4 linked regions of the Mytilus edulis genome follow. The protein of the gene in region 2 binds, or shares a complex with, the protein of the main gene of each other region. Links are inferred from orthologs where the notes say so. Each region holds a gene or a part of one and is shown on either strand. Other genes may lie near its edges.

Region 1 (7,266 bases), on a different chromosome or scaffold from region 2:
AACAATTAAGTTAATATTCCATCAATCTAACTATAGACAACAATTAAGTTAATATTCCATCAATCTAACTATAGACAACAATTAAGTTAATATTCCATCAATCTAGCTATAGACAACAATTAAGTTAATATTCCATCAATCTAATTATAGACAACAATTTAGTTTTTCTACAAACACTAGTATGAACAAATTTACAATAGGTATGGAATGTTTCAATGGCAGATAATCAGTGGAAGATTAGTGTGGATGAATTGTTACAGTAAATCATATATCCTAATATAATAGATTACTTTCGAGTTATGTCCTTTATCGAAAAAATTTGTCAATTATGCACACCTTTATGACGTCATTAACCAGAAAGAGGGGATCACTTATATCCCTGCACTATCAAAGTTCATCAAGTGTCTTGGCGTTTGTCATTTTGCAGGATCAACTAGAAATAAATGTTTGTTCTGTAGGGACTTAATATAATTGCAGTTAATACAAAGTAAAAGAAGAATTCAAGAAGTGAAAAGAAATACCCATTTCTGTTAAGCAAGTGGCATGGTAGATAAAAGTGAGACATGATTGTAATTTAGTTTCTATAATTTTTGTGCTATTTTCACATTTCCTGACTGGTGTGAGAAAAATATTTCTCCTCACTAGTGAAAAATCTGTTCTCGGCAAATGATTAGTCGAAATTTGATTATGACGTCAAAATGTTTTGTTTTCTTCTCAATTTTCCTATTGTGACGTCATGAAAAAAGGGGACCTTGCCTGATGACGTCGCATATAAAGAGCACAATTTTCTGAAAATCTTTGAAAAAGAACGATAAAAAGCATTAGAGAAACAGATTCCGACACTATAACTCGTGTATTACGATATTTCTCCACTCTGGACAGTTAAATTTTATTATTTAAAGGGCTCGGCAAGCCTCGCACTTTAAATAATAAAATTTAACTGTCTCGAGTGGAGAAATATCGTAATACACTTGTTGCAGTGTAAGAATCTATATTTACATAAAAAGGCAGAGTTTGTCTTAATGTTGTTCTCCATCTGCACTCTAAAAAACAACAGGATTAAAAGTTACAAGTTATATTTTATCTAATTTTTTAGTTACAATAGATAAATAAGGTTACTTACTTAGAAAACAACCCACCAGACCACTCATCTACTTCTGTCACATATCTTAATGGAAACTGTAATAGAAACGGATTAGAAAACTATAATGAAAAGGTCCTTACAAATTGAAACATGTCAAGTAATACTTGTCAAATGCAAATGTTAATATCAGTAATTTTGATTTAAAGGTTCAGTGAAAATGCATGTCTGCATCACAGAATTCATTTCTCTGTCTTCTTTTAAGGTTCCTTCTACCCATTAAAGGTAAACTCTTTTTGTATTTGTGTTATTTAAACGTGAATAAATAAAGAAGTAGGGAATGTGTCAATGCAAGTCTAATAGCAAAATGCAATAAACCAAAAAGGACATCAAATGTCCAGTAATAAACAAATGTCCAGTAATAAACAAATGTTCATACTCACATATACAGTTAGTCTTTATGTCATTTGGTCTCTGGTGTAGAACTGTCTAATTGACAATTATATCACATCTTTTTATCTGTATAGCTCTATATTGCCTGTTGACTTCACAAGTTGTTATGTTAAAGTACCTTTCAGTATTAAATGTAAATAGATAGCTCCAACAGTTCCATAATATAGATCAGACAATTGTTTGTACAATTATAATATAAAATAGAACTGTTGGTGACCTTCTGCTGTTGTTTTTTATTTGGTCGGGTTGTTGTCTCTTTGACACATTCCCCATTTCCATTCACAATTTTATTAGTCTGTAACTTAAATAATACCTTCAGAATAGGGTTCTGACTTTCCTTTGGAACAAACACAACTGACTTGGAACATATTTTCAAATGTCCTCTCTGTTTCCTGTAAGAAAAAAGAACAAATAGTGTGCTGTGTTATCACAATAAAAAACAAATTGCAAAATCTATCTAATATTTTGATTAAAATTGACATAAACAAGCAATTTTACTGAATAAAAGATTTTAAAAAAATATGCAGATGAATACAGAATTTTCAGCCAAAATTATTATTTTGTTTGATTTTTATCATAAAGAATCTTTAAAAATCCTTTCAAAATAATACTTTATCAGAGAAATAATGTTTTTGTCCAAGCAAAAAAAAAAAGTACCAATGTGCAACTTACATGTTTTCATGATGTCTTCATTATCTATCATAGAAGTCTCATTCATTTAAATGAGAAAGGTCAGACAAATATTTTTGTAAAATCATTTGAATAATATAATTGGAAACATAAAAACATTGTGTACCTTTTGACAGCTTCTGGTTCTGGAAGACCACAAGGATAATAGAAAACACTGTAGTCTTCAAAATAGATTTCTCCTGGATCTAGTAATAACAGATTAAACCTGGAAAAGAATGGATAACCTTCTAATATACAAGTCATAAAAAAATAGTTAAATAATTAATAACACATGATGACATTTAGCATGTTTAGTTTTAAAATAAAGTTTAATAAGGAGATCAGAAGCACAAACATAGTAAAGTATGCCAATCTCCATCATAGTAAAGTATGCCAATCTTTCTCTCCATCATAGTTGTTCATTGGTTGGAGTTGTTGTAACATAGTTGTTCATTGGTTGGAGTTGTTGTAACATAGTTGTTCATTGGTTGGAGTTGTTGTAACATAGTTGTTCATTGGTTGGAGTTGTTGTAACATAGTTGTTCATTGGTTGGAGTTGTTGTAAGATATTTGTGCTTTTGTGGATACACATTTTTGTTGATTGAGGGAAATTGCATTTTGGGTGGATGTTTGATTTCTTGGTTTTGACAAAGTCTGCATTATTCTCATTTTTATACTTTATGCTATGTTTGATTTTATTCAATTCAGTCGTTCACTAAAAGAAGACATTTGTATGTATTTCCAATAGGAACCTATGTTAAACTAAGTCCCCTGCTGGCAGCCATCCTGGATGATAGATTGGCTACAAAGTAACAACACTTGGTCAGCACCTCATAAGGAACATTCATGCTATGTTTGGTTTCATTCCATTCAGTGGTTCTCTAGAAGAAGTCATTTGTATGCATTTCCCGTAGGGTCCTATGTTAAACTTAGTCCCCTGCTGGCGGCCATCTTGGATGATGGATCGGCTACAAAGTAACAATTAACACTTGGTCAGCACCTCATAAGAAACATTCATGCCATGTTTGGTTTCATTCCAATCAGTGGTTCTCTAGAAGAAGTTCAAAATGTAAAAAGTTAAAGAAGACAACGGACAACGAAGATGGATGACGACAACGGACGCCAAGTGATGAGAAAAGCTCACTTGGCCCTCCGGGCCAGGTGAGGTAAAAATGCAGAAAATTCAAACTCTTCATTCAGTGAAAAACCTTGATAATGTATGTTTCAGTGCACTGTTACCAGTATTACTATTAGCAGGAACATATATACTGATGGGACTTGTCACTTAGATATATGATTCCGGCTAATGCCCTTTACCATCAGGCGTCAAATGGCCATTTTTGGTTACCATTAGCGTCAAATTGGTTAAAATTTTGCCATGATTCGTCAAATTATGCTTATCATGATTCGTCAGAGGTCTCAAATAGTTATCATTATTGACCATGTTGACATTTTTAGAAAAAAATTGAAAGTGTTTCGTCTAAATCAGTCGATTCTTTTGTACATTTTTATTGTCATGCCCCAAAAATTACCGTTAATGTCATTTGGCAAGAATTAATTATTATTTCAGTTTTTTCGTCATGAAAATACCCCCATCACCTCCCTCAGCTATAAGCCACAAAAATCTTCATAGAAATAACACAAGTCATAAGACATAAGATATCACATAACCCAACAAAGAAAAACTAAGTCATTTGTAAGTGAATGACAGTGTATAAATTCTTATGAAACTACATGATATATACATATAAAAAAATCATAAACCTTTCTTTTGAAGCAGTGTCATTTTCTAAAAAAGACATTATTCAAAGAATTCATAAATGTGAAATTCAGTCTGTGTTCATATCCATTTGGTCTGTTTCCGGGTTGATTAGAGTTTTATTCTACTTCCGGTTTGAAGGTTAAATTTGGGGACAAGTCATTTTATCAATAAAACAAATATTTTTTAAATGATCTAACATTTGAATTCTTGTTAATTTTCTTGTACCATTCAATTTTATCAGATTTTAAACAAAAGTTTAACTTTTTTTATATTTTGGTTCGATATATCCACCTAACAGTAATTATATCGTTCTTGAGAAATAGCCTGTCCCTTAAAAGTGCCAACATGGCTGAGAAGAAAAACAAATATTCTGTTCTCCTTCCAACTTACAACGAAAAGGACAATCTACCTCTAATAGTGTGGCTTATTGTGAAATATTTTACAGAGAGGTAACAAATAATGATGTCAAGAAATGAATAAATCCATTTTACATAAATTTTTGTAGTAAAAAAATACATTTTTATGAATATTTTTTACTATACCTGTATGTTTCCTTGTAGATGTCAAGCATTTATGCATTATGAAGAAACTTTTTAGTAGGCAAAAAAAAAAGACTAGAAAATTGTTGCCTAAAAAGGGATTTATTAAAATTTATTGAAAGATTTAAAAAAATACTTTCTCATAAGTTTTTTATGATCTACATTTACTTGCAAGAAGTGATTGATTGCAATAGATTTTCATTAAACCTTTAAATTTTTTATTCACTTATACACAATTGTTTGTATTTTATTACCATGTATTGTAAATTGTTTATCCATTCGGTCATTACCATTTATTGTAAATGTGTTTGCGTCAATAAAATATTGTCTATTGTCTACAGAGGGGGGTTAGGAGGGGTCCTGATCCCGAAATCCCGGGCTTAAAAACACGATATCCAGAAATCCCGAGCTAAAAAACACGAAATCCCGAGGTCCCGAAATTCGAAAAATAGAATTCCCGGATCCAGAAAGGGTCAATCCTGAAATCCCAAGCTTAAAAACACCCGATCCCGGAGTCCCGATAAAGGTCCTATCCCCCCTCTCTACAACCATGACATTATTGCATCAGAAAACACAATCTTCAAGTCATTGGGGCAGATCAATGTTAAAAGTGAAATTGGAAAGAGCATATAGGATTTAGAATAGTTCTATATATACCTTGAAAGCACACTAAATTCTCATTTGAATAATGAAATATTTGCCACTGGATGTTAACTACATCATATACATGTAGCAACCAACAATCAATAATTTGAATATTCACTTTAGCCTTCAACAATATTAAAAACTGGTACTTAAAGATGTAGTAAAATGTACTGCACTTGTCAGTTTCTGAACCACATACAAGTATATCCAATATACATGATATATAATTGTTTTCTACAAACATCTATAAGGGTTTACTTTACAAATTGTGACTTGAATGGAGAGATGTCTCATTGGCTCTCATACCAAATCTTCTTATATCTGTATTTATATAAAAAGATTGAATTTCTGGACTATAGATAAGAAGAAACAAATGTAGCTGCTTTACAAACATGACAAATCTTTTGAAAATAAATATCATCAGTTGAATAATTTGTACATATACCTGTTCAAATGGTAATAATGCTTTTGACTAATACAAGTATAACTTGAAGCACCAAAACTAATTTACAGTACAAACAGCAAATACCAACTCTCACAAAAGTTAACTGACATACAATGTAAAAGACAAACAACATTAAATTAGAGATACCAGAAGCCAAATTTAGTACATGCACAGATCATGCAGAATGATATGTGGTTAACCCATTCTTAACTGCACTGCCACACTTCTCTATCTTTTATATCTATAATGTTTATATATGCTACTATCCAACTTCTCAAAGTACAAATGTAGCACATCAAATTTTTTTTTGATTGCAGTAAATATGATTTTGAAATCATTGTAATTGATGATGGCAGTCCTGATGGAACATTAGAAGTGGCAAAACAACTAGAGAAAATATATGGCAAAGACAAAATTGTAAGTTTTACTTAGAGGTGGCAAAACAACTAGAGAAATATATGGCAAAGACAAAATTGTAAGTTTTACTTAGAGGTGGCAAAACAACTAGAGAAAATATATGGCAAAGACAGAATTGTAAGTTTGACTTAGAGGTGTCAAAACAACTAGAGAAAATAAATGGGAAAGACATAATTGTAAGTTATCCTTAGAGATGGCCAAACAACTAGAGAAAATATATGGCAAAGACAAAATTGTAAGTTATCGTTAGAGTTGGCAAAGACAAAATTGTAAGTTATCCTTAGAGGTGGCAAAACAACTAGAGAAAATATATGGCAAAGACAAAATTGTAAGTTATCCTTAGAGGTGGCAAAACAACTAGAGAAAATATATGGCAAAGACAAAATTGTAAGTTATCCTTAGAGGTGGCAAAACAACTAGAGAAAATATATGGCAAAGACAAAATTGTAAGTTATCCTTAGAGGTGGCAAAACAACTAGAGAAAATATATGGCAAAGACAAAATTGTAAGTTATCATTAGAGGTGGCAAAACAACTAGAGAAAATATATGGCAAAGACAAAATTGTAAGTTTTACTTAGAGGTGGCAAAACAACTAGAGAAAATATATGGCAAAGACAAAATTGTAAGTTTTACTTAGAGGTGGCAAAACAACTAGAGAAAATATATGGCAAAGACAAAATTGTAAGTTTTACTTAGAGGTGGCAAAACAACTAGAGAAAATATATGGCAAAGACAAAATTGTAAGTTTTACTTAGAGGTGGCAAAACAACTAGAGAAAATATATGGCAAAGACAAAATTGTAAGTTTTACTTAGAGTTGGCAAAACAACTAGAGAAAATATATGGAAAAGACATAATTGTAAGTTATCCTTAGAGATGGCCAAACAACTAGAGAAAATATATGGCAAAGACAAAATTGTAAGTTATCCTTAGAGTTGGCAAAGACAAAATTGTAAGTTATCCTTAGAGGTGGCAAAACAACTAGAGAAAATATATGGCAAAGACAAAATTGTAAGTTATCCTTAGAGGTGGCAAAACAACTAGAGAAAATATATGGAAAAGACAAAATTGTAAGTTTTACTTAGAGGTGGCAAAACAACTAGAGAAAATATATGGCAAAGACAAAATTGTAAGTTTTACTTAGAGGTGGCAAAACAACTAGAGAAAATATATGGCAAAGACAAAATTGTAAGTTTTACTTAGAGGTGGCAAAACAACTAGAGAAAATATATGGCAAAGACAAAATTGTAAGTTT
Region 2 (7,165 bases):
ATTTTAATATTGCTCAAACTCTAAATGTCATATATATTTGTGTTCAACACTTTAATACTATATAGTGAACATGTTCATGTCAATATTTTATTGGAAAAATAAAAGAATATTGCACTATAATAAGACGTTAATGTTTCAATGAATATCTGTTGTACATTCTGTTAGATCGACTGTAAATAACCAATCTGTCAGTTTGATTTAACTCTCTGTCCTCTGCAAGTCAGTAATACAAATAGACCTACAATAACAAACATAAGTAATGATTAACCAGATTCTTCTTACAGTTGTTTATTTAACACATTATTGAAAAAGGCAAAATGGGCTAATCCCAGTTGTTAATAGTGCTTTGAAGAAACATACTACACAATGCATATTGTTTTGGTGAATTGTTACACTCAGGAATTGAATGGCTATCACCACCAACATGAATCCGTATTTTGTTATTAATAAAATTGAGAATGAAAATGGGGAACGTTTCAAAGAGAAAACAACCCAATCAAAGAGCAGACAACAGCTGAAGGCCACTAATGGGGTTTTCAATGCAGCGAGAAATATTTGAACATTTTATTTCTCATTTCCATCATTTTTCCCATCTGACAATAAAAACATCGAAATTATTTCTGAATTTACAGTTCTATTCATATGATATAAAATTTGATGGATTCTGAGGGGAAACAATAACAAAGTACTAATTGTCTCGTATGAACAGCACACATTCCTTTCTTTACTTAAAGCATGTAAAGTTAAACCTTTTAAGGTTTCAAAAAAATGCATGTCTTGATGATGGTTATATAATTCATTTATAGAGAATAATTAGCTTTGTTTTAGGCTGAATATAAATTAAAAAGTTATGAAATAATCTAGAACTGTGCCAATAACTTCAAAATCAAACAGAACAATAACATCTTGTTTAAAATATGGCAAAAAAAAAAAAAAAAAATGTTTTTACCAATATGACATTAGATTTCAAACAAATAAAAATATATTTACCTATAACAGCTAATCCAGTGACACCCATCAGCAATGGAATACCTAATGCATATTTGTGGTCTGGAAAGACTTGGTGGAAGATTTGATCTTTGTCAACAAAGGGCTGAAAATAACAATGATTGCATAAACAATATGTGTTTTATCATAGCTATAAATAGCCATTTCAATTTAATATTCAGGTAAAAAAAATATATAATAAATGTGTTTACTTTTGTGCTCCACCTACTAAATTAATGTTCAATTTTCTTGGAGGTCTTTTTATAGTTACTGGTATTTGTTATGTTGTATAAGCATATATGCCACTTTCACCATGTTTTGAATCAATTGATTTCTAAGTCCAGTAACCTAAAAATGTGTGTTTGGACTTCTTGTTTTGCTTTAAATGAAAGTACATTAGACTCACTTATAAGTCCACATAATGAGATACATAGTTTGACAGAGAAACTCCTCAAAGTACTGACTTTAATCCTTTTTATTTAGCAAAAATGTTAATTCACTTACAACTTTTCTTACTTTTACAATTTTTTAAACTATTAGCAAAACATTGGTGTGAATATCATAGAATTGTCATTTTCATCAATATGTTAGAAGCGTTAAATTTTGAGAAATTTTCCATAATGAAAATTCAGAAATTGTTGTGTGCATTTCTTGTTGTGTTTTTTTTTTAAAAGAATGAACAAAAATGCTAGATTAATAACACTGTATTGCCAGTCAAATTAATCACAAAAAAAAAACTCAATATTATAAGAGTTTACAGTATATCTTACCAGAACAATAACCCAAACTGTGTAATAGATGTAAGCTATAGAGGTCACTGTGATCAGTGTCCAACCAGCCAATAATTCAAATGTTCTTGTCATCTTTCATCTTGGTATACAATCTGAAAAAAAAAAGTAATGATTGAGTTAGAGTCATTATAAAGTGTACCTGGTATGTCTTCTTGTTTTTTAATTGGCACATGTAAAGAGTTGAGAGTTCTGTAATGCTTCACATTGATGCACTAATGACTCATTCTCCGTCTAGTGGACTTATAACATTCTTTTAAAGAATCCAGTCCTTAGCAAGGAAGAAGAAGAAGGAGTGTTCCAAGTTAAATTTACCAGTTTATCTGTTTATAGTCATTGTAATGGCATGAGAGGAAAACATGTAATGTTGCATTCCTTGGATGTTTCTTGAATTTTAAATGTATTGGTTATGGTTAATTTCATACAAAAGGGATATAGTTTGTTTTATTGCCATACATGTACACATTTTTTAGTCTTTTTAATTTGTCAGCTGGTGTAAACAAAATAAACCAACACAAAATATACTCTGATCTTTATAATATTTGGTTCCACCTTTTCAATATATTGGGTACCTTTAGGGTTTAATTTTGCATGTTTATTTTAAAGTCATTGCCATAACTTTCAAATGTCTGTAAAGTTCAACATAAAATTGAAGAGACTTGTACCTGAAGCCAGGTGAATTGGATCAAGTGTTGAACACAAAAATTTATTTGTCAACTTTTATTCATAAAAGGAGGTCACAGGTGTGTTGCATATGTCAATAACCAAGCCTGACAAAAAACGTCTTTGAATAGAATTACAATCTTGGTGATACAGGACAATTTCCAATAGCAATGATACTAGAGTGGCAAACTTGCTATGAAGACCTACATGATTGAATATAATATATACATGTATGATATATTTATGGCCTCATATTTTGCCATACCATTTACATTTGTCAGTTCCAACCACAACTGGCTCATACATGCTGAGCTAATATTATATATATACATAAAGAGTAAAATGTACACTCGTACTAGATGTTGACCTTAGTAGGGCCTTTGTTTACAAATAGATGTATGATGGATAAAGCATGCGTTGTAGGATAAACGTTTTATATATCCATCCTACTATACCTTGACTGGTCAATTTTGATACGTATTTAATACGTTTCTAAGATTACCTTCAAAACAAAGTTTCAACATTATTTACATTTTTTCCAGGAAGTTAAATTCATAGTATAAAATATAAAGTCAAAGTAGGTAAATTTCCGGAAAATATCCCTTTTTATATTGGTATTTGTTTCACGTCCACTGAGGCTGGGACTATAGTCCCAGACTGAGGTTACAATCTTTCTGTTATTTTTACAAACGAACGTGTAAATTTTACATGCTTGGGCAGGTCATCAACTGCTAAGTGTTTTTTCCAGAAAATTATAACTAGCTACTAGGATTTATCAACATATTGCGTAGATACAAGTCATGCAGTCAGTTAAAAAAATCTCTAAAACTGATTTTATCTTGATGCTTGATTTCTTGATTGACAAAACATATTAATTAATTACGTTTGGAGGACGTGTTTTTCGATCGGGATCTGTATCTGAAATTCTTAGAAAGATAGTAGGCTAAATGATCTCTAACTAAAAGTAAAGTAATTCAAAAATTAATAACTACTGGAAACTTAAAGAAGAAGAAGAAGAACTATGTTGAACGCATCAATATCATATCGAACTTGAGAAAAAAGGGTTCAACAGATACGATAGAGGTAAGGATTTTCTGTTTTGAATTTACCGGAGTTCGGTATTTTTGCTTTTTTTACTTTTTTTATACAACAGCTCGTGTATATTTTGAAAATGTGTGAAGATTCAAAACAAATATTAAAATATTTAGGTTTTAAAGCATTCCAATGTCCAATCGATCTAAAGATGAAGGATACAGTTAAGTCTGCATCTTATGTCGACTAACATCCAGAAATTGATATTGATTATCGGTTGAAACCCAAACTTAACGACAAACGAGATATCAGCTTTCCAATTGTGAACTTTCCATTTCTGTGTGACTTTCCAGCTTACGAAGTATATAACTCCCACTATAAGAGGCAAATTGAGGGGGAAACGGAAATATTTTGTTAATTATGTAGTGTAATCACTGGATCGGGTAATCTCGTATGAGGTCAGTGGCCTCCATTTTGAAAATTTCTGAATCTGCCACGATAGACGATTGCTGCTCACAAGGAAGCTATTTATATATTGAAGAGTTCCAAGTGGTGAAGTTGAATTCGTCTCAGTTTGTAAATTTTACGGACGCAATCACAAGTGGGTTGACCATTATGGAATATTTGTTTCTCAGATGACAACAATGTGTTCCTATGTTGTGATTACACTCCTGTCCCCTTTTCCTCGAATTCGAACGTCTGAGTTATACCTGTTATCGGGTGCCGCAGTGAAGCATGTGTACCTTTCCGGATCACCTGAGATCACCCCCTTTTTTGGTGGGGTTCGTGTTGCTCATGCAGTCTTTGCTTCTCTATATTGGGTTTTGTATACTGTGTACTGTTGTTTGTCTGTTTGTCATTTTCTGTTCTGCGTTATCATTTTATTTTTGGCTTGTGAATGTGCCTTTGGTATCCCTAGCCTTTCTTGTATGTTATATGATCTTATAGGCGTAACACGATGGATGTCACATGTGGAACGGAATCTGATTACCCTGCCGGTGCATCCTAGTTCATCATATATGCATTTTGTGGTCCATGTCTTAATTTACCGAAGTTACACAAAGCTACAAAAAAAGCCCACAAAACACAAAAAGAACAAAGAAATTGCCATTAAAATTAAAATACATATACTACTGAGCAGTTTTAAAATGAATGGATGAGTCTGTTTAATCATCGCTAAGGATCTCTTGATAATCAAATTAACTTGATTGTATGAAAAATAATCTCTCAAGTGTGGACCCACATTAATGTTGTGCGCATATAAAGGGAAAATTGGATTCATGCATATCATCGCTGAATTCTGGAACATTATAATGTGTTGCCATATCAAAATCGAGATGAATTGAAATAGGGCTTGAGCATGGAATATACTAGCATACAGATTGTGTCAAATGTTTAAGATACCCACATTTTGTACGTTTAGGGTTACTTTGGCTGGATTTTGCATGGTAGGGCTGGTGTTGCCTAGTCTTTTCTTTAGTTTTCAATTTTATGTTGATGCTTGTCTTTTGGTAGTAAAATGGTGTCACATTTGGCGAAAGCACTGCCTAATATTCAAATATCATTGATATGGTAATATTCATAGATTAATTGTTGATCAAACTAGAATAGTTAAAAATACTAAGAATCTTCTACGCTAGAAATACTCAGATGGTTGACACGTATTTTGCAAAACCTTTCGGAATTTTTGGTCCTCAGTCTTCGTTCTTTATTTGGCTTTTTAGAACTTTTTTGTATTCGAGTGTCTGGTGAAGTTGTAGACGAACGAACGTATTATAATGATATAGTCATAATTACATTAGATGTATGTTTCATTATAATACGTTATTCTGATTGGCTAACTAGCAATCTCGTGATATTCCTTAATCAATTGCATTACACAATGCAACTTTTCAATCATGATGACACGAGGTCCCACAATAAAGTGCACAGGTAAATGAAATAAAAACTTGATAAAAGGCGTGTTTTCATGATCCTATAGGTAAAAATGTAATTATAAGTATTGAATGCTTTTTTTGTAACTTTATAGGGTTGTAAAAGCGTTGACCGTGCGCACATTTTTAGTATGAAGCGCGGAAGCGCTTCATACAAAATGTACTTCGGTCAACGCTTTTACACCGCAATTAATTTACAAAAAAGAGCATTCAATTCTTAAATTGTACCTTTGATGTGTTGTTTTACCCTTTTATTTTGGGAGGGGGGGGGCGGGGCTGAGTTAACTCCCGGTTTTTGTATGGGTTCGTGTAGTTCAATCTTTATAGTTCTCTTCATTGTAAAATTGTTCATTCTTTTCATTGTTTTTTTCTGTGTTTTTTGTACCACGACGTTGTCAGTTTTTTTACGACTTGTGAGTTTTGAATGCACCTTCTCTTTCTTATCAATTAATAATCAAATAACTTAAGTCCGTTCATCTGTCCGTTCTTCCGTCTGTCCCGCTTCAGGTTAAAGTTTTTGGTCGAGGTAGTTTTTGATGAAGTTGAATTCCAATCAACTTCAAACTTAGTATACATGTTCCCTATAATATGATCTTTCTAATGTTAATGCCAAATTAGAGATTTTATCTCAATTTCACGGTCCATTGAACACAGAAAATGATGGCGCAAGTTTCAGGTTAAAGTTTTTGGTTAAAGTTTTTAATGAAGTTAAAGTCCAATCAACTTGAAACTTAGTATACATGTTTCCATGATATGATCTTTCTAATTTTAATGCCAGAGTAGAGTTTTTACTCCAATTTCACGGTCCACTAAACATAGAAAATGATAGTGGAACATCCATGTACTATGGACATATTCTTGTTTGTACTAAACTTGGACAGAGGCTTGTTCGTATCTAGAAGGAAATTTTGTTAAAATTTTGTACCTGTGTATCTGTATTTTACTAACAAATGGACTTAGTTTTTCTTCCAGTTAACATTACATACATTCTGGAATTAAATTTTTTAAACATTTATTTGATTCATAAACTATCCTGGATTTTTACCAAACTTGGACAGAAGCTTCTTACATTCAAACGATAGTATCAAGAGGAATATTTTTATTGATTTTTTCCCTCGTTTTTGTTGAACCTGCGATTTACAGATAACGTAGGCGAGACACTGGGTTCCGCGGAACCCTTATTATTTTTTTTTATACAGGATCAACAGGATCACCAAGTACAATTTATACATTAGGTCGTAATATACATCTCTGTTGTTTTTGCTCTTCTCTGTATAAGTTTTTAACTGTTTCTGCGTTGTAAAACTATTGACAAGAAGCCAAAGAAGAACAGAAAGTGCATGTTTACATGGAACAATTGATCATTAAAAGGATGCGATTCGAAGAAGAAGACAAATCAACCATGTGTATTTTGGTATCTTTAGTGACCTATACCTTGACCTAGGACAATTAAAATTTGATAACTGTAGTGACTTAAACTTTGTAATGAAACAATTGAATTTTAAAAGGATGCGATTCCAAATTTTAATTACCTGAAAGTCTCTCGGAACAATTCTGCTTAAAAGCGCCTGTCAACCATATAGTTTGAGGACAGTTACGACCGTATGTTTGACATGGACCACTTGAACTAAATTTCGATGTGATTCAAAATTTGAGGAATTTCCTGGAAGTCATCAGAACAATCATGATTTGGTAAAGCATCTAGTAACCATATATGTTAGGTGTTGCTGTGACCTTAACACATTGAACAATTGAACTTCA
Region 3 (7,526 bases), on a different chromosome or scaffold from region 2:
GAAATGCTTAACCTCTAAAACATGGATCATGTTTAAAATATCATATGACAATAAAAATATTATCAAATTTTGCTGTACTGAATATTTCTAATACTTATAAATATTTTATTCAATAAAGAAATAATGAATTGCCTAAATTTTATTTAGCATAAGTCCTAAAGACAATCTTAATCATATGTTAAGATCAGTCTATCTACAATAATAAACCATTTTGATTTTAGAAAATTAATTTGAGAAACATCTAGTCAATAGAAAAAGACAGGCATTGTAAATGTTTGCAGTATATTTGAAAATGAGATTCATTTATTCTTCACTACCAAAAAATAAACTTAATATAAAAAATAACTTAAATTGATCAAAAATTATTTAAAAGGTATAATATCAAAACTAATAGTCAGGAGACAATTATTTTTTAATTAAGCTGTTTGTTCAACTAGTTTTATTGTTTCATTTTATTTTTGAATTTCTTGTCATAATCACAGTTATTAAATTTGACAAACACATACATGTATATTTTACCTGAGACACCTGACCTGTAAGTTATATAATTTTAACACTTCAATGCATTCAAGATTTCCCTTTATCCTTGACTAGTTTTTGAGTAATACCTTGTGTATTAAAAAATCAACAGGGGGTAAGATGATGAACATATAGGGCCACCATGGTGAACATATTTTTTATGGCCACCATTAATAAGATAAAGTCACAGGTAGTACTGTATTAATGTAGTTATATGTGTAAAAAAAATGGCAGATTCCTATAAATGAGTAACAATGAATCCCTCTGCTCAATTGAGTAAGAACTTAGCCAAATGGAACAATTTTACACGTATATTGACTTTTACTGTAAAACATTCAAAACTCTTGCAATTAACATACATGTACAATGTACCATGACGTTTTTTTATTTGACCCTCATTTATCCAAGCATATTTCTTGAAATCTTTTTTTGCCTGGTGGTCCTTCCTCACTATCATTTCTAAATGCATATTGCCAAAATTGTGTTAGTCCTTCCCAAAAAAATGTGGTGGTAAAATCCCTAGGACCACCACTCATAGAGAACTCTGTACAAGTATTGAAAAGATATACATTTACATGTAAATGCATGTTTGATAATATACTCATTATACATGTTATACCTACATGTGTAATTGTACTTAAATGTTGCCCCTTTCTGCAACAGAAAGTGCTTTGTTTTGTTACAGTCAAGGGTAAAACATGTACTTTTACAAGTCATGTTTATTAAGTTAAACATGTAAAGTTTTGTAAGACAGCCAAAAGAATTTGCGTTATATATTGGTATCACATCGTCGTTGTCATCGTCTGAATACATTTGGTTTCAGGTCAATAACTTTTAATCCACCATTTTCTACATTTAAAAATGCCTGTACCACGTCAGGAATATGACAGTTGTTGTCTATTCCTTTGATTTGTTTTCTTTTTTTTTTAAAGGTAATAATATCTTTATTGCATATTTGCTGTAACAATTTACTAAGTTTACAGCTTGTAACTTAGTATCCCTCATGTTAGTTTACCTAATAGTTTAGGGAAGCACTATTTGGTAAGATATAACTTGTTCATAATATTAGTATCTATAGTACAATTGATTTCACAATTATGTAAAATAAATTGTCTAGTGTAGACAAATTGTGAATTGTGCACGCCAAAATGAATGACTTAACTTGTGTAATACATATACACGACGACATACAATAGATCATTAAAAACTTAAACAAAAATTGCATACTTACCAAATTTTATAAAATAAGTTAAATCCAGTTTATATAAGAATATTTAGACACAATCAATAATGCGATAACGCACGTGCTTGCTGAAACAACACTAACTATGCCCAATTTCTTTCAATGGAATACGGATCATTTGATGTGTTTTCTCATTTGATTTTGCCAATTTGATTACAGACTTTCCTTTTTGAATTTTCCTCAGGGTTCAGTTTTTTTGAGATTTTACTTTTATTGATCATGTTTATAGTACATGTATTAGTAAATAGAAAGATGAAATTTAAACACAATGTTTATGACCACAAAAGAAAGGTTGGTAACGATTTGGGGGTTATGGTCCTAACAGTTTAGTAATTAGGGGTCAAAAAGGGCATTTTTCTACTTTCCAGACAATAACTTGTGGAATGGTGTATGGATCGCTCTGAAATTATACCACAAGTTTCCATACCATAAAGGTATGGTAAGAATTGGCTTTGCAGGGTTATGGCTCAAACCATTTAGGAATTAAGGAAAAAAAGGGGGGAACAAGGGTGTCCTGGTTAATGGACAATTATTTAAGTTCAAAACATAATTTTAAAGCAATTAACAGAAGGTAATAGTCTATTTACCACTTCCTGTAATTGACCCTGTAATTAGAGATCCCTTTTTAAGCTTTCTCCCTTATGAGGGACAGTATATTTTATTTACAATGGAGAGCTAACAGAGAGAGCAAATTAACCGGTGCATAATGTGAGTTTTTAAAATCTGTTAATTAGATTTATCATTAATTTTGTTGTTAGGCTAAATACTTTTGACATCAGAAATTATTTTCCATGAAATATTAGTTAAACCACCTATACATCACTTTCAATTCATCATGGTTTGCATCACTTTCAATTCATCATGGTTTGCATTGGCAAAAGCCAATTTTGCGGTATAGAACCAGTCTACTATTGACAAAGGAAAGTAATTTGTTTAAAAAGTGTGTAATTACAGAACAAAATCGGTAATTGACAAATGGACTATTCAAACAACATTGACAATTACCTCCCTTACACTGCTTTTAAATTATGTATAAACATGATAAAGAAATGTTGTATTGTCTTGAGATGATTAGCTGTCTTATGTACTGTAATGATATTTTTGTCATTTTCCATTACAGAATGCATTAAGCTCTGTTAAAAACAGATCTTTTTCCCCCCAAAGACTCAATGTAAAAAAAACCACCATAAAATAAAAAGAGATAAATTCTTATCTACATGTACCTACCCTAACTTTTTCTCACACAAATATAGATAAATGTACTGACATGTATAAAATTCTATATATATACACTGTTAATCAACACACTATAAACCTTGTAAACAACTGAAGCAATGTGTTATTCCATAGATTGATTAATTATACGTTTTGATTTACAAACTCATGGGACCAAAATAGTCTTATCATGCATTCTTGTCATTAATAAATAATTTTTGTGGTTATTTAAAGGTCTCTTTCAAAATTTCATTCTAATTTTATGATGAGTTTTAAAAATAGCTTACAGATTGATTACGGTTAAAAACAGGAGGGACTCTAAATTATCCTGACTAAATGATCAGCAGATAAATATTGACTGTTTACCATGGTATTATCGGGAGACTTGGATCGTTTAAAAATCTTTAAATAGAACTTAAAAGTCATGACATTTAAAGTAAAGGTTAATAAATATCATCAATTTATTGTAATTAAAAAATCCTACATGTAGGTTTGAATAATCTTTAACTTGCATGTAATTATAAAGTATACAATTTTTTCAATCCTACATTTACATGTGTTAAGAACTGGAAAATAATATTACTGTGTGTTATACCTGATTTATTTGTACTTTACATGTGATGTTACAAAGGTTTATTCCCTATTGTCCCACTTTTTAAAATTTTAGAGTTCTGATTGTCCCACATTATTTTATGTAGTAAAATGTTCATAGATAAACAAGGTAACTGTTGTTTGTTTTGCTAAATAAACAAGAATTAATTATTGCACATTTAATATTAATTTTATAAAAGTATAAAAAATATGATTTTTAAATCATTAGATTGATACACTTTTGATTAAAAAAAATATAATATTTCTGATTTATGAAATAGATCTTTTAAGGTCTTGAATTAAACTTTTTTTCTGAACCTGATTTTTTGGGTTTATATATGACTCTAGAAAACTAATTGGTTACGAAAATCATATGGTGGTGCACTTATTTTTGCTATTTTTAGAACACAAATCTTATTATTTCAACTTCTTTGTTATAATTGATTGAAAAAATACACATTTGAGAAATTTGAAAGAATTTTTTTTATATGGGATGCACATGCTTCTGGTAAAATCATTTCTTGTACCCCCATCTATTTTCTCTAAATTTGCTGCTGTCTAGAATTTTTCCAGATCAGCCTTTCCAAGAATCACTATTAAAGGTTGTTTTTCCAATTTTCCCATTGTTTTTGCAGTCAAAAAGACTCTTCACCAATTATAAAGAAGAGCCAGACTTCCATAAGAAATAAGAAGATGCGGTATGATTGTCAATGAGACAACTCTCCCAAAGAGACCAAATGACACAGAAATTAACAACTATAGGTCACCATACGGCCTTCAACAACGAGCAAATCCCATATCACATAGCTTCAAAAGGCCCCAAAATGACTAATGTAAAACGAGAAAACTAATGGCAAAAGAATGAACGAAAAACAAATATGTTACACGGCAACAAACGACAACCACTGACTTACAGGCTCCTGGCTTGGGACATCACCACAACAAAGACACTAAGTACAGATCTAAGAGCACTCGCAGTACTGACTGCTAGTTCAAAGCCAATAAAAAATAATTAAAAAAAATATATATGCATCTTAGACTAAATTTTTTTAAATTTTTTAAAAGACTTCATATTATATTATATGATACTTCAATTGTACCTACTATGAGCAAAATAAAATATATAAATATTATTATTTGTTCTTATTTTGTTCATATTTTATAAGCTACATCGATAAGTAACCTTTGATTAACTGCAACACGCTATAAAAACAAATAAATCATTATAAAAACAGTTCCCAATTGTCCCACATCTAAACTTCCCAATTGTCCCACAAACATATTCCCGATTGTCCCACAAAATTTCATAACCTTTTTACCTGTAATTTCAAAAATAGGGACAATCGGGAAGACACCGTTACAAATGTAGATGGAAAATTTATCGTCATGTTTTTTTAATGAACCTCAATCATAAACACCTCTGTGTCTATGAAATGAAAATCGATAGTTAGATGATCAATGCATGTTGATGTGCTGTAACAATGAGATGATTTGTCTTCGACTTTGTCATTACGTGAAAGTTTATACTATTTATAGATCTATCACCTGTTATTGAATTCTTTATTGTGATTTAGCAGTACATATATAGTTTACATGTGGGATTGAGCTTATTGTGATAAATTTTCATCATTTTAACATCATCAAATTATTTTTTTTGAAGAGACTAACTTTAATAATTTGAGGAGCATATATACATATATCAAGAGGAATAATTTGTGTCATTTTTTGTGAATTTATAGATAATTGCATTTGAAGTTGTTAATGTTTTTCATTGAAGTACATATTTACAATATTGAATCAGCATTAAATTTTTTTTTAAATGTCAATTTGAATTTAAAAATATTTTGATCTAAATAGTTATGGTTAATTGATCAACTATAAATAATTAATATGTTTTAAATGATATTTAATAAGAAAGTTTACCTGCGAATATTTTTTTTTACTTTTCACCATCAATATCAATTGGTTAAAAGATTTTGCCGGTGAATGAATAGATATAAAAGCTTGTAAAAAAGCTATATTTACCTTTTGAAATTTAATTCCAAAGTGACTATACTATCATTACAAAACTAATTGTACTATTGTGATGATTTTGTGTAGAAACATCTGATTTGAAAAAAAACCAAAGAAAATCAATTATTGAAAGAAAAAAAAAATAATGCTGTAATTTGAAAACTTCAAATACTAGATAAAAAAAAATATAAGGATACATGCACTGAATTATTCAGACTATATTGATGGAATACATTCACTTGAAGTAAAAAATGAAATATAATAAACCCGACATCTTTGGTTTTGGATATTATCCAGAGCTGTAATATATGGCCATTCACTAGGAAAGTAAACGTTCATGTTGTAATAGTCTGAAGGTACATGTTATCATAAAATTTATGAGGTGAAAGGACAAGAAGTTTAAAATTTTTAATAACTAAGAGATTTTATTGGATACCTAATATGATACAAGTTTGTGGTTATATCGGATGTTTAGTTATTGAAAATTGTACTTCAAGTGAAAGTGACTTTCTGAATTATTGATTTCTGTAACTTGACAGATTTTACAGTATATATCTTATAAGCTTGATAAATATGATATTAGAAAGGTAAAAGATGTATGGAAATTCAGTAGACATGAATGATATTCTAACTGGCTGATAATGTGTCTGTTTGTGCAGGAAAATACATTATAGAGGATTTTGATTTAACATTGCATAGGAATTTACATATTTTCAACTGTTACGAGATATGAGTGTTTTAAGTAGATGTTTCCAAATTTGTTAACATTTAGCTATAGACTGGGTGGGACCAATATTATAAGTCTCAGATATAGGCACCATATTAAAGGACTTACATGTACATATGCATCGGATTACTGATTCTGGAGACGGATATTAATTCCATTGAATTCACTTGAATATGAAATACTTGACTTTACATAGAAGTTTACCACAGCGACATAACCTTCTGTGGAAACAACATGACCCCACGGTAGATAAACATGCAGACAGTGATAATATACCAATTGTTATATCATTTAAACAAATACAGGGATTAACTCACCCTTTTCAAGTTAAGGTAAGCTAAATTTACAAACTTTTGCAAGGGTGTTTATTATAAGATAGAAACTAAATTAGTCCGTTTGTTTTCTCGTTTGAATTGTTTTACATTGTCATTTCGGGGCCTTTTATAGCTGACTATGCGGTATAGGCTTAGTTGTTAATTTCTGAGTCATTTTGGTCTCTTGTGGAGAGTTGTCTCATTGGCGCGCACAATCATACCACATTTTCTTTTTGATATTTATTCATTGACTTTTTCTTTTAAATTGTGTGTGTTATAAAAGCTGTTTAAAATGGTTAGGTCAGCTATCACCCTAAATTATTATGTACATGTCTGTTAACATATATATGTTATGATAATTTTGAGTACATATGGATATAAGTATACAAATATGATTATGTAATTTTAAGTTATGAGCCTTGTTATTGTACTTAGATGTTACAACTCTCCCAGACAAAGTTGACCATACAATAATATAGCATTTAATGTTTTGTGTAGATCCTTCATGGTTGTGACTTCTCAATCATAATTCATATATTTGCAATGAACAAGTAGAGAAAATAGAGATAATGATAAATGGAAAAATTTCCAGTTATAAACTAATGAATTTATGTCACATAACTTCCATGAAGACACATTATCCTATTCAGAGTTTACTAATGTTTTCACTGAAGTTTTTGCTTCTTTTTGCAGGGATATAAATGATTAATTATTGTCCTGTTAAAAATATCCATAAGTTACTCATAAACTAGTCCTCTATTTATTCATTAGTGTTTTGTCATACATTTACCCATTAGGATATTGTCTAACCTTTACCCATAAGGATATTGTCTAACCTTTACCCATAAGGATATTGTCTAACCTTTACCCATAAGGATATTGTCTAACCTTTACCCATTAGGAT
Region 4 (7,758 bases), on a different chromosome or scaffold from region 2:
TGGTAGAGGCAAGAAAACAATTTTGTTAAATTGACGAAATTACAAAAACGTCTATGGATAAACAAACTGCAAATTTAATGGTGGTCAATTATGAGGTTTAATTAACAGATTGATGACCCGTCCAATGTCAATAAGCGGATTATCTGTAATCACAACTTATTGTAAATGTTAAGTAGGGTCGTTATCTTGTCATAAATATGAAGGCAGGTACCTACAATAATGGTATTTGTCAAAAAATTAATACAATAAAGGCACAGACTTGCATCTTAAAGAGGGCACAGGGTGTCAGAAAGGGGCACAGGGCAGCGATCCCGAAAGGACGGGCAAGGCGCCCAGTAAACAACAAACAGAAACACTAATTTTTAAATATAAAAAAAGAAGATGTGGTATGATTGCCAATGAGGCAACTGTCAACAAGAGACCAAAATGACACAGATATAAACAACTATAGGTCACTGTACGGCCTTCAACAATGAGCAAAGCCCATACCGCATAGTCAGCTATAAAAGGCCCAAAATTCATGAAATTGACAATGTAAATTCAAATGAGAGAACTAACGACCTTATTTATATAAAAATATGTAACACATAAACAATCGACAACCACTGAATTACACGCTCCTGACTTGGGACAGGCAACTTCATAAATAATGTAGCAGGGTTAAACATGTAAGCTGTATCCCAAACCTCCCCTAACCTGAGGCAGTGGTATAACAGTACATGTACAACATAAGAACGAACTATAAAAATCAGTTGAAAAAGGCTCAACTCATCAGATGGATAAAAATACAAGTGGACGTGGCTGGGTACTTGTACATCCTAACAACAAAAAGACACTAGAAACAGATCTGAGAGTACTCACATTTATCTGACAGCTAGTTCGAAGCCACTTACAACTAATCAAAAAAATCATGCATCTAAAACTAAACAATCAATCCGTAGTTCCGTACACATCCAACATCCAATGGATTTAGTGTAAAGACATCATAAACAGTCAGAGAAAAAACATGACCTTGTGTAAACCCATGTTATTCTTTGTTTAATCCTTATATTTTTATGAGGATAATCAGTGTGATGTAAATTGTTTTTCCCTAATTCCTGTCGACACTATTATGCAGAATTGTCTTAAAATGAAAGTTCCTTGACAAGATACATTGAAGTTTAAACAGATATTATGGCATTCAGGGCCGTAACTAGGGTTCGAATTCAGGGGAGGCAGGGGTTTGGGCCACCGATTGAAGCCCCTTAGAGAGAGGGGGTTGGGGGAGCAGCCCCCGCCGATTTTTTTCTCGAGGTAAAATGGCTAAAAATGACCCATTTTCCTTCGATTTACTTACTTTAATGAAAAAAAAGTATTGCTTGAACCTGGAAGCAATTTTTATGCAAAAACAAACTGAGATTGCTGTTCAGGGTAAGCCAAGGCTCCGTCTTGAAGGCCGTAATTATTATGAAGACCTATAATTATTAACATTAAATACATTGTGACCGCGGATTTTGTTCTCAATATGGCTAAAAATCACCCGTTTTCCTTCGATTTCCTTACTTTAAGAAACATCAGTATTGCTGGATCCTTGAAGCAATTTTTTATACAAACAATTATTATCTGTATTTAAAGATATTTTTGTTAGAAATCAAACTGGTAAGTTAAAAAAAACCATATAAAGCAAGATCATAGAAAGCAAGATATTTTTTTGTCAAGGACCTTGAATTTTAATATTGTTGAAAGTTGAACAGACATGTATACAACTACAACCAGGGACTTTCTAAACTAGTATATACTTAGTTTAGAAAGTCTCTGCTTCAACAAATAGGAGTGTTTAACTACTAAGGCATTGACCATAATGTTCTCGTACAATCGGCCGGGAGACGTTAAAAAAATGACACAACAGCTGATTCAGCCGGTAACGAATTTCCAATATCATAAAAGATTCACAATACAAAGGGAACTTCCTCTGCTTAATGGAGCCCCCAAATAAATGTGAATAGTTCAGTTTTATTCAAAATTGTCGAAAGCAAAGTTTCATATGTGTTCTCGTACGAATACTGCATAACAGACGGACACACGAAAAATAAAATACTGAAATGGTTCACTTTCGGTAAAAAATCCGAAAAATGACAGATATATCATGTATCATGATAACTCTGTTAAAACTGTAAACTTGTGTTGTTTATGATATAAATTCAAGTTCTTCGTATACATATTGTCAATATTTCATTTTATTACTTCAAAAAAAAAATGTTGGTGTCGAAAATTCAGGGGAGGCAACTGCCTCCCCTGCCTCATAGGCAGTTACGGCCCTGGCATTGTTTACAATAAAGTTTCCATTGGAACTTCTGTCATGTGTCACAAAAATTATATACCTTAACACCTTTGATAAAAATATTCTTAAAAATATGCAACAAAAAAAGGAGTCTTCAATAATTTAACTTGCAAAACATAATATTACATGTTATTAAAATCGTGGGTGCCAAAATAACTACCTTGACTTTAGGGTAGAATTAAGTAGGTCTCGATTTGACTAGGTGCAGAAATGACTATACAAGATGCTGATTTAACTAGGTGCCAGAGTGAATGAATTCTTAAAATACAATGTATGAACATTTGTAAAGAATGCACAGCCACAGGACAACAAAAGTCAACATGATTCATGAAAGAATGTTTGTTGTTTTGCTCTGTGCCAGCTTGATTTGTTTGAGATTGTTTAAGGCAGTAGTTCTTGGTGCCGAAATTGAGTACCATATTGTAACTGGATAGCATAATGTTAAAGAATATAAAATGGTTTTCCATAGTTTAAAAATCTGTGCAGGGGTTCACACTTTACTTAAAATGATGTTAGCATTTGACCATACAAATGCATATAAAAGCTCATTTGGAAATTGCAGATGAGATTGTGCTCATATATTGAATAATATAACCCTTCAGAGTTTCATGGTTTCTATGTATCCTATATTTCCATCCAAGAACAAAAATATCAGAAACTTATCGAAACCGGAAATTTACACATCATTAAAATATCCGGATCGAGGACGGAGTATTCATCCGAATTCCGACTTTTGTCTGACCTATGTATTTCTTTGATTCCTTTAATCGTCTAGTTGCTAGCTTGGGATGCTATATGTCTGTTTACAGCTACAAAATAACAACCAACTGCCAAATCAAATCTTCATCATATATCATGTTAATACCTATTTTTTTTTTAAATATGCTGAGTTTTTTTACTTTAATTTTCGATTTGTTGACCTCATTTGAGTCGGACATCTATGACAAGCCGTTTTATTACTTTATTCTAACTTCATGATATCTTATATAATATATAAGATATCTCATATAATATATAAGATCTTTTATCAGATATCTTATATAAATTAATCTAGTTGTTATACTGAGAAACTTTAATATATACATTATACATTTTGACATTATATATATATATCATTTAGTTTATATAAGATAACTTATATACTTTACATGAGAGTTTTCTAATACCACATCTTCTTATTTATTTTATAATTATAAGATACATTTTAAAGTTTAAAAGATATTATATACGATATCTACAAAGTATAAGATATTTTACATGCATATATTGTTTATATATATTAAGATATCTTATACACCTTATATGTTATTTATCAGATATCTTATATATCGTCTATAAGATATTTTATAAAGAATATTATATGAGATATCTTATAAATTGTATAAGATATTTAATAAACTATATAAGATGTCGTATAAACCATATTTGATTTTCACATGATGCACACATGATGTTTCACTAAACTGATATAGTTTTGTGCTAGCATATCAGTAACTGTTAGTGTGTCCTTTGTTAATTTATTTTGTCATATTTAGATTTTACTTAATTTCTTCTGTTACCTATTCTGTTTAACATAGACAGACTCGGACGTCTTTAAACTGAGTTTTAGTGAGAGTATTGCCTTGTTTTCTTTTTTTTTATTCAATACTTGCTATAGAAGAATAGAGGGAGGGTCGAGATCTTACAAAACATGCTGCCACATGTGTGCGTCTGTAACTAGTCCAGAACCTCTAGCCTTTGTCAGTCTTGGGTTTTTTTTTCTCCATTTGTATACATGTCGCTTCCATTTCGCTAAACTAGTATACAAGTTCTTTTTTAATGGTCAACAATGGAAGTAATATTACTTCAATAGGTCAACTAAACCTTCATAGCTCCATGTGGGATATTCTCGTCACCTCTGTTGAAAAGTCATTGATACATGGCCTTGGATTGTTGTATGCTCTATGGTACAGTTGTTGTCTTTTTGTCATATTTTTATATTTCTATTTATTTGCATATGCATAAAGAATCTACGTTTATAAAGTAAAGATTTTGTAAATTAGGAATCCTTGATAAAGAAAAAATCAGAAAAAAATATTTATTTTCAAATCAAATCAAATAAGTTCTATAATTTCAAAGTCGGTATGTTAAGTAACAATACAATATAAGCTCTACGCGAGCGTGTTGACCGAAATAAAAATGTACATAGTAAACGAAAAACATAGATATTATTTATTTTCAAATCAAATCAAATAAGTTCTATAATTTCAAAGTCGGTATGTTAAGTAACAATACAATATAAGCTCTACGCGAGCGTTTTGACCGAAATACAAATGTACATAGTAAACGAAAGACATAGATATTATTTATTTTCAAATCAAATCAAATAAGTTATATAATTTCAAAGTCGGTATGTTAAGTAACAATACAATATAAGCTCTACGCGAGCGTTTTAATTGACCGAAATACAAATGTACATAGTAAACGAAAGACATAGATATTATAAACAATGCGAGCAAACTAAACTGACTATATAACTAAGAAATTTGATCTTCCTCTACATACACGGTAAATATTTAAATAGCACTGAATACGGTTACGTTAAATGTTTAAATGTTTAATATTGCATATATGAAAACCAGTGATCCGTAACAAAATACTACCGGGTTTGTGTGATCATCGAATTACCATAAAATAATGAATTCATAATAATGAAGACAGTTTGGATTGTTAGACTTCTAATCTTTGCTATTCTTATTCATGGTAAGTTTTTGGTTTCGAACCGAGTATTTAAAAGATTCGAACATGGCTGAAACCTTTTTGGTTATTGGCAAAACATAACTACGCCATCTCAATATGGAAATTAATTTACCACTGCCTATCCATCCGTCCGTCTGTTTAATCGTCCGTTCTTCCATCCGGATATAGATCAATATTCAATATTACTTCTATGGTTCGACTTTATGTATTTACTATTCTCAAAATTCTAGGTATTTGGAATTGGTAATTTTTGTACTTAAAATTCGAAAGGGGGATGTTTTAGATATTCACAAACAACGCTATATAATTGAACACATGGTTTGTACTACTAAAGTTAAATGTTATAATGCACTATACATAAGATTTTTAGTATTGTCAAAAATGTAATCAATACCGGGTAGTTGACAACTGGAAATTGACATTTGAACTTGGTAAATATAAAAACTGGAAAATTGTAACCCTAAGACTGATTTCAGAACTGACATCCAGCTGCAAGTGTAGGCATTCGGAATAAAAATAAAAGATAGGTCAGCATACATAGTGTTAAGTTTATAATTTTTTTATGATCAGACGGGGGCATTATTTGTGTCTTGCAGAAAGCCGTATTAATTTCAAGTCGTACATCAACATCACTGGTTGTCAAATCTAAAGTATGTGGAACAGTATACTCATGCATATGACATAGCAGAGGGGTCATTGTCCATATATAGTTTTATTTTTTTTTTAAATTTTCAATCTTAATAATATAAGTATATCGTCGATTTTATTGAAATGAACATATTATGGAAAATCAAAGGATATGGCGTATCCATCCATATCACAAAATCAGTTAATGCACAACGAAAAAACATGTCTTCAAAATAAATCGGGCGACAGTAATCATTTTAAAATATAACATAATTGATCTACACATATAAATGGTTCATGACTACACAATTAAAATGTATTTGAAGATAAGAATATAAAAATCATATAACGTGTATAAATGTATTGTTTGAATTGAATAGACTCGAACGAGGAAGTTTTCACATTTGATCGATCACCAATAAACGTCTCTGGGTAGTTATGTTGGGTTATTATGTGTGGATTTTAAATGCATTTAATTTGTTCTTTATTTATGTACATATTGGTATTCGATGACTAATTAAATCTATGAAAAGTGAAATATTTCATTCCAAGAAAATCTTCGAAATTTCAGACATTTGCCACTTTTAAGCTCACCTGGTCCAAAGGGCCAAGTGAGCTTTTCTCATCACTTTGCGTCCGGCGTCGGCGTCGTCGTCGTCGTCGTCGTCGTCCGACGTCGTCTGTTAACTTTAACAAAAACCTCTGAAACTACTGGGTCAAATTTAACCAAACTTGGCCCCAATTGTAATTGGGGTATATAATTGGGGTATCTAGTTTAGAAAATGTGTCCGTTTAACCGGCCAGCCAACCAAGATGGCCACCATGGCTAAAAACAGAACATAGGGGTAAAATGTAGATTTTGGCTTATAACTCTGAAACCAAAGCAGTTAGAGCAAGTCTGACATGGGGTGAAATTGTTTATCTAGTAAAGATCTATCTGCTCTGAAATTTTCAGATAAATCGGACAACCGGTTGTTGGGTTGCCAATTTGTAATTTTAAGGAAATTTTGCCGTTTTTCGTTATTATCTTGAATATTATTATTGATAGAGATAAAATATAAACTGTAAACAGCAATAATGTTCAGCAAAGTAAGATATACAAATAAGTCAACATGACCAAAATGGTCAGTTGACCCCTTAAGGAGTTGCCCTTTATAGTCAATTTTACCAATTCTCTTCTCCTCTGAAACTACTAAAACAAATATAACTAAACTTGTCCATAATTACAGAAGAGTATCTAGTTTGAAAAATGTGCCCGATGACCCTGCCTCTGAACCATGATGGCAGACATGGCTAAACATAGTACATAGGGTAAAATGCAGTTTTTGGTTTATATCTCTGAAACTGAAGCATTTAGAGCAAATCTGACTGGTGGCAAAAATGTTCATCAGATTTAAATATGTCTGCCCTGAAATTTTCAGACAACCAGTTGTTAGGTTGCTGCCCTTGAGTTAGTAATTTTATGGAAATTTTGCAGTATTTTTCTATTATCTAAGATATAATTATATAGTATCTAATAATATCTTATACTATAAATTATGATTTTAACCTTATTTTACATGATTTCCAAAGCATAAGAAAAAAACAGGTGAGCGACACAGGCTCTTTAGAGCCTCTAGTTGTGGTATTTAAGAATTCAGATGATTTCTACATAGTGATGGTACATTATTATGAGCTAAAATTGTCTCCTTCCTACTATTTTATCGTTTTATTTTACATTGTAAATGTATAAAACTTTGACTGTTGATACTGAAATACAGATAGTGTATAATTAAAATCAACTCTTCAAAAACATCACATCGGCTAAAATAATGATTTCTGGATTTCAATCTGTATGTCAATTTGAAATTATGAAAACCAAAATTCCGTAGTGCTATATAGATTATCGAATCATGTTTGAAATGAAATATAATATTGATTATATACTTGCAGTTATTCAAATGAAAATATTTTACTATCATATCCTTACTTTGAATTCATTGTAAGTACGCGTACATCTATAAGCGAGTTAGCCCGCTTGGTTCTAGTATACACCATGCTATTATGTATAATTCAAAGTAATACAGATTTCA

Evidence for each region.
Region 1: uncharacterized protein (region 2) and dolichol-phosphate mannosyltransferase subunit 1-like share a complex: the UniProt entries of both Homo sapiens proteins name them as parts of the dolichol-phosphate mannose (DPM) synthase complex. The link is inferred for Mytilus edulis from reciprocal best matches to the Homo sapiens genes DPM2 and DPM1.
Region 3: uncharacterized protein (region 2) and phosphatidylinositol N-acetylglucosaminyltransferase subunit P-like share a complex: the UniProt entries of both Homo sapiens proteins name them as parts of the glycosylphosphatidylinositol-N-acetylglucosaminyltransferase (GPI-GnT) complex. The link is inferred for Mytilus edulis from reciprocal best matches to the Homo sapiens genes DPM2 and PIGP.
Region 4: uncharacterized protein (region 2) and phosphatidylinositol N-acetylglucosaminyltransferase subunit A-like share a complex: the UniProt entries of both Homo sapiens proteins name them as parts of the glycosylphosphatidylinositol-N-acetylglucosaminyltransferase (GPI-GnT) complex. The link is inferred for Mytilus edulis from reciprocal best matches to the Homo sapiens genes DPM2 and PIGA.

Annotation. Positions count from the first base shown.
Region 1 is NC_092348.1:4,569,219-4,576,484, reverse strand, and holds the start of dolichol-phosphate mannosyltransferase subunit 1-like, read left to right. Parts: upstream 1-4,258; 5' UTR 4,259-4,310; coding exon 4,311-4,414; intron 4,415-5,911; coding exon 5,912-6,011; intron 6,012-7,266. Other genes in the region: protein FAN-like, read right to left, coding at 1,124-1,179, 1,848-1,926, 2,331-2,429, 3,968-4,005. UniProt on the Homo sapiens protein: Transfers mannose from GDP-mannose to dolichol monophosphate to form dolichol phosphate mannose (Dol-P-Man) which is the mannosyl donor in pathways leading to N-glycosylation, glycosyl phosphatidylinositol membrane anchoring, and O-mannosylation of proteins; catalytic subunit of the dolichol-phosphate mannose (DPM) synthase complex.
Region 2 is NC_092345.1:2,383,271-2,390,435, forward strand, and holds uncharacterized protein, read right to left. Parts: upstream 3,005-7,165; 5' UTR 2,894-3,004; intron 2,780-2,893; exon of another isoform or gene 2,704-2,779; intron 1,871-2,703; 5' UTR 1,851-1,870; coding exon 1,758-1,850; intron 1,094-1,757; coding exon 991-1,093; intron 239-990; coding exon 189-238; 3' UTR 74-188; downstream 1-73. UniProt on the Homo sapiens protein: Regulates the biosynthesis of dolichol phosphate-mannose. Regulatory subunit of the dolichol-phosphate mannose (DPM) synthase complex; essential for the ER localization and stable expression of DPM1.
Region 3 is NC_092356.1:67,724,153-67,731,678, forward strand, and holds the start of phosphatidylinositol N-acetylglucosaminyltransferase subunit P-like, read right to left. Parts: upstream 3,009-7,526; 5' UTR 2,990-3,008; intron 1-2,989. Other genes in the region: nephrocystin-4-like, read left to right, coding at 6,482-6,640. UniProt on the Homo sapiens protein: Part of the glycosylphosphatidylinositol-N-acetylglucosaminyltransferase (GPI-GnT) complex that catalyzes the transfer of N-acetylglucosamine from UDP-N-acetylglucosamine to phosphatidylinositol and participates in the first step of GPI biosynthesis.
Region 4 is NC_092356.1:49,226,921-49,234,678, forward strand, and holds the start of phosphatidylinositol N-acetylglucosaminyltransferase subunit A-like, read right to left. Parts: upstream 3,009-7,758; 5' UTR 2,850-3,008; intron 1-2,849. UniProt on the Homo sapiens protein: Catalytic subunit of the glycosylphosphatidylinositol-N-acetylglucosaminyltransferase (GPI-GnT) complex that catalyzes the transfer of N-acetylglucosamine from UDP-N-acetylglucosamine to phosphatidylinositol and participates in the first step of GPI biosynthesis.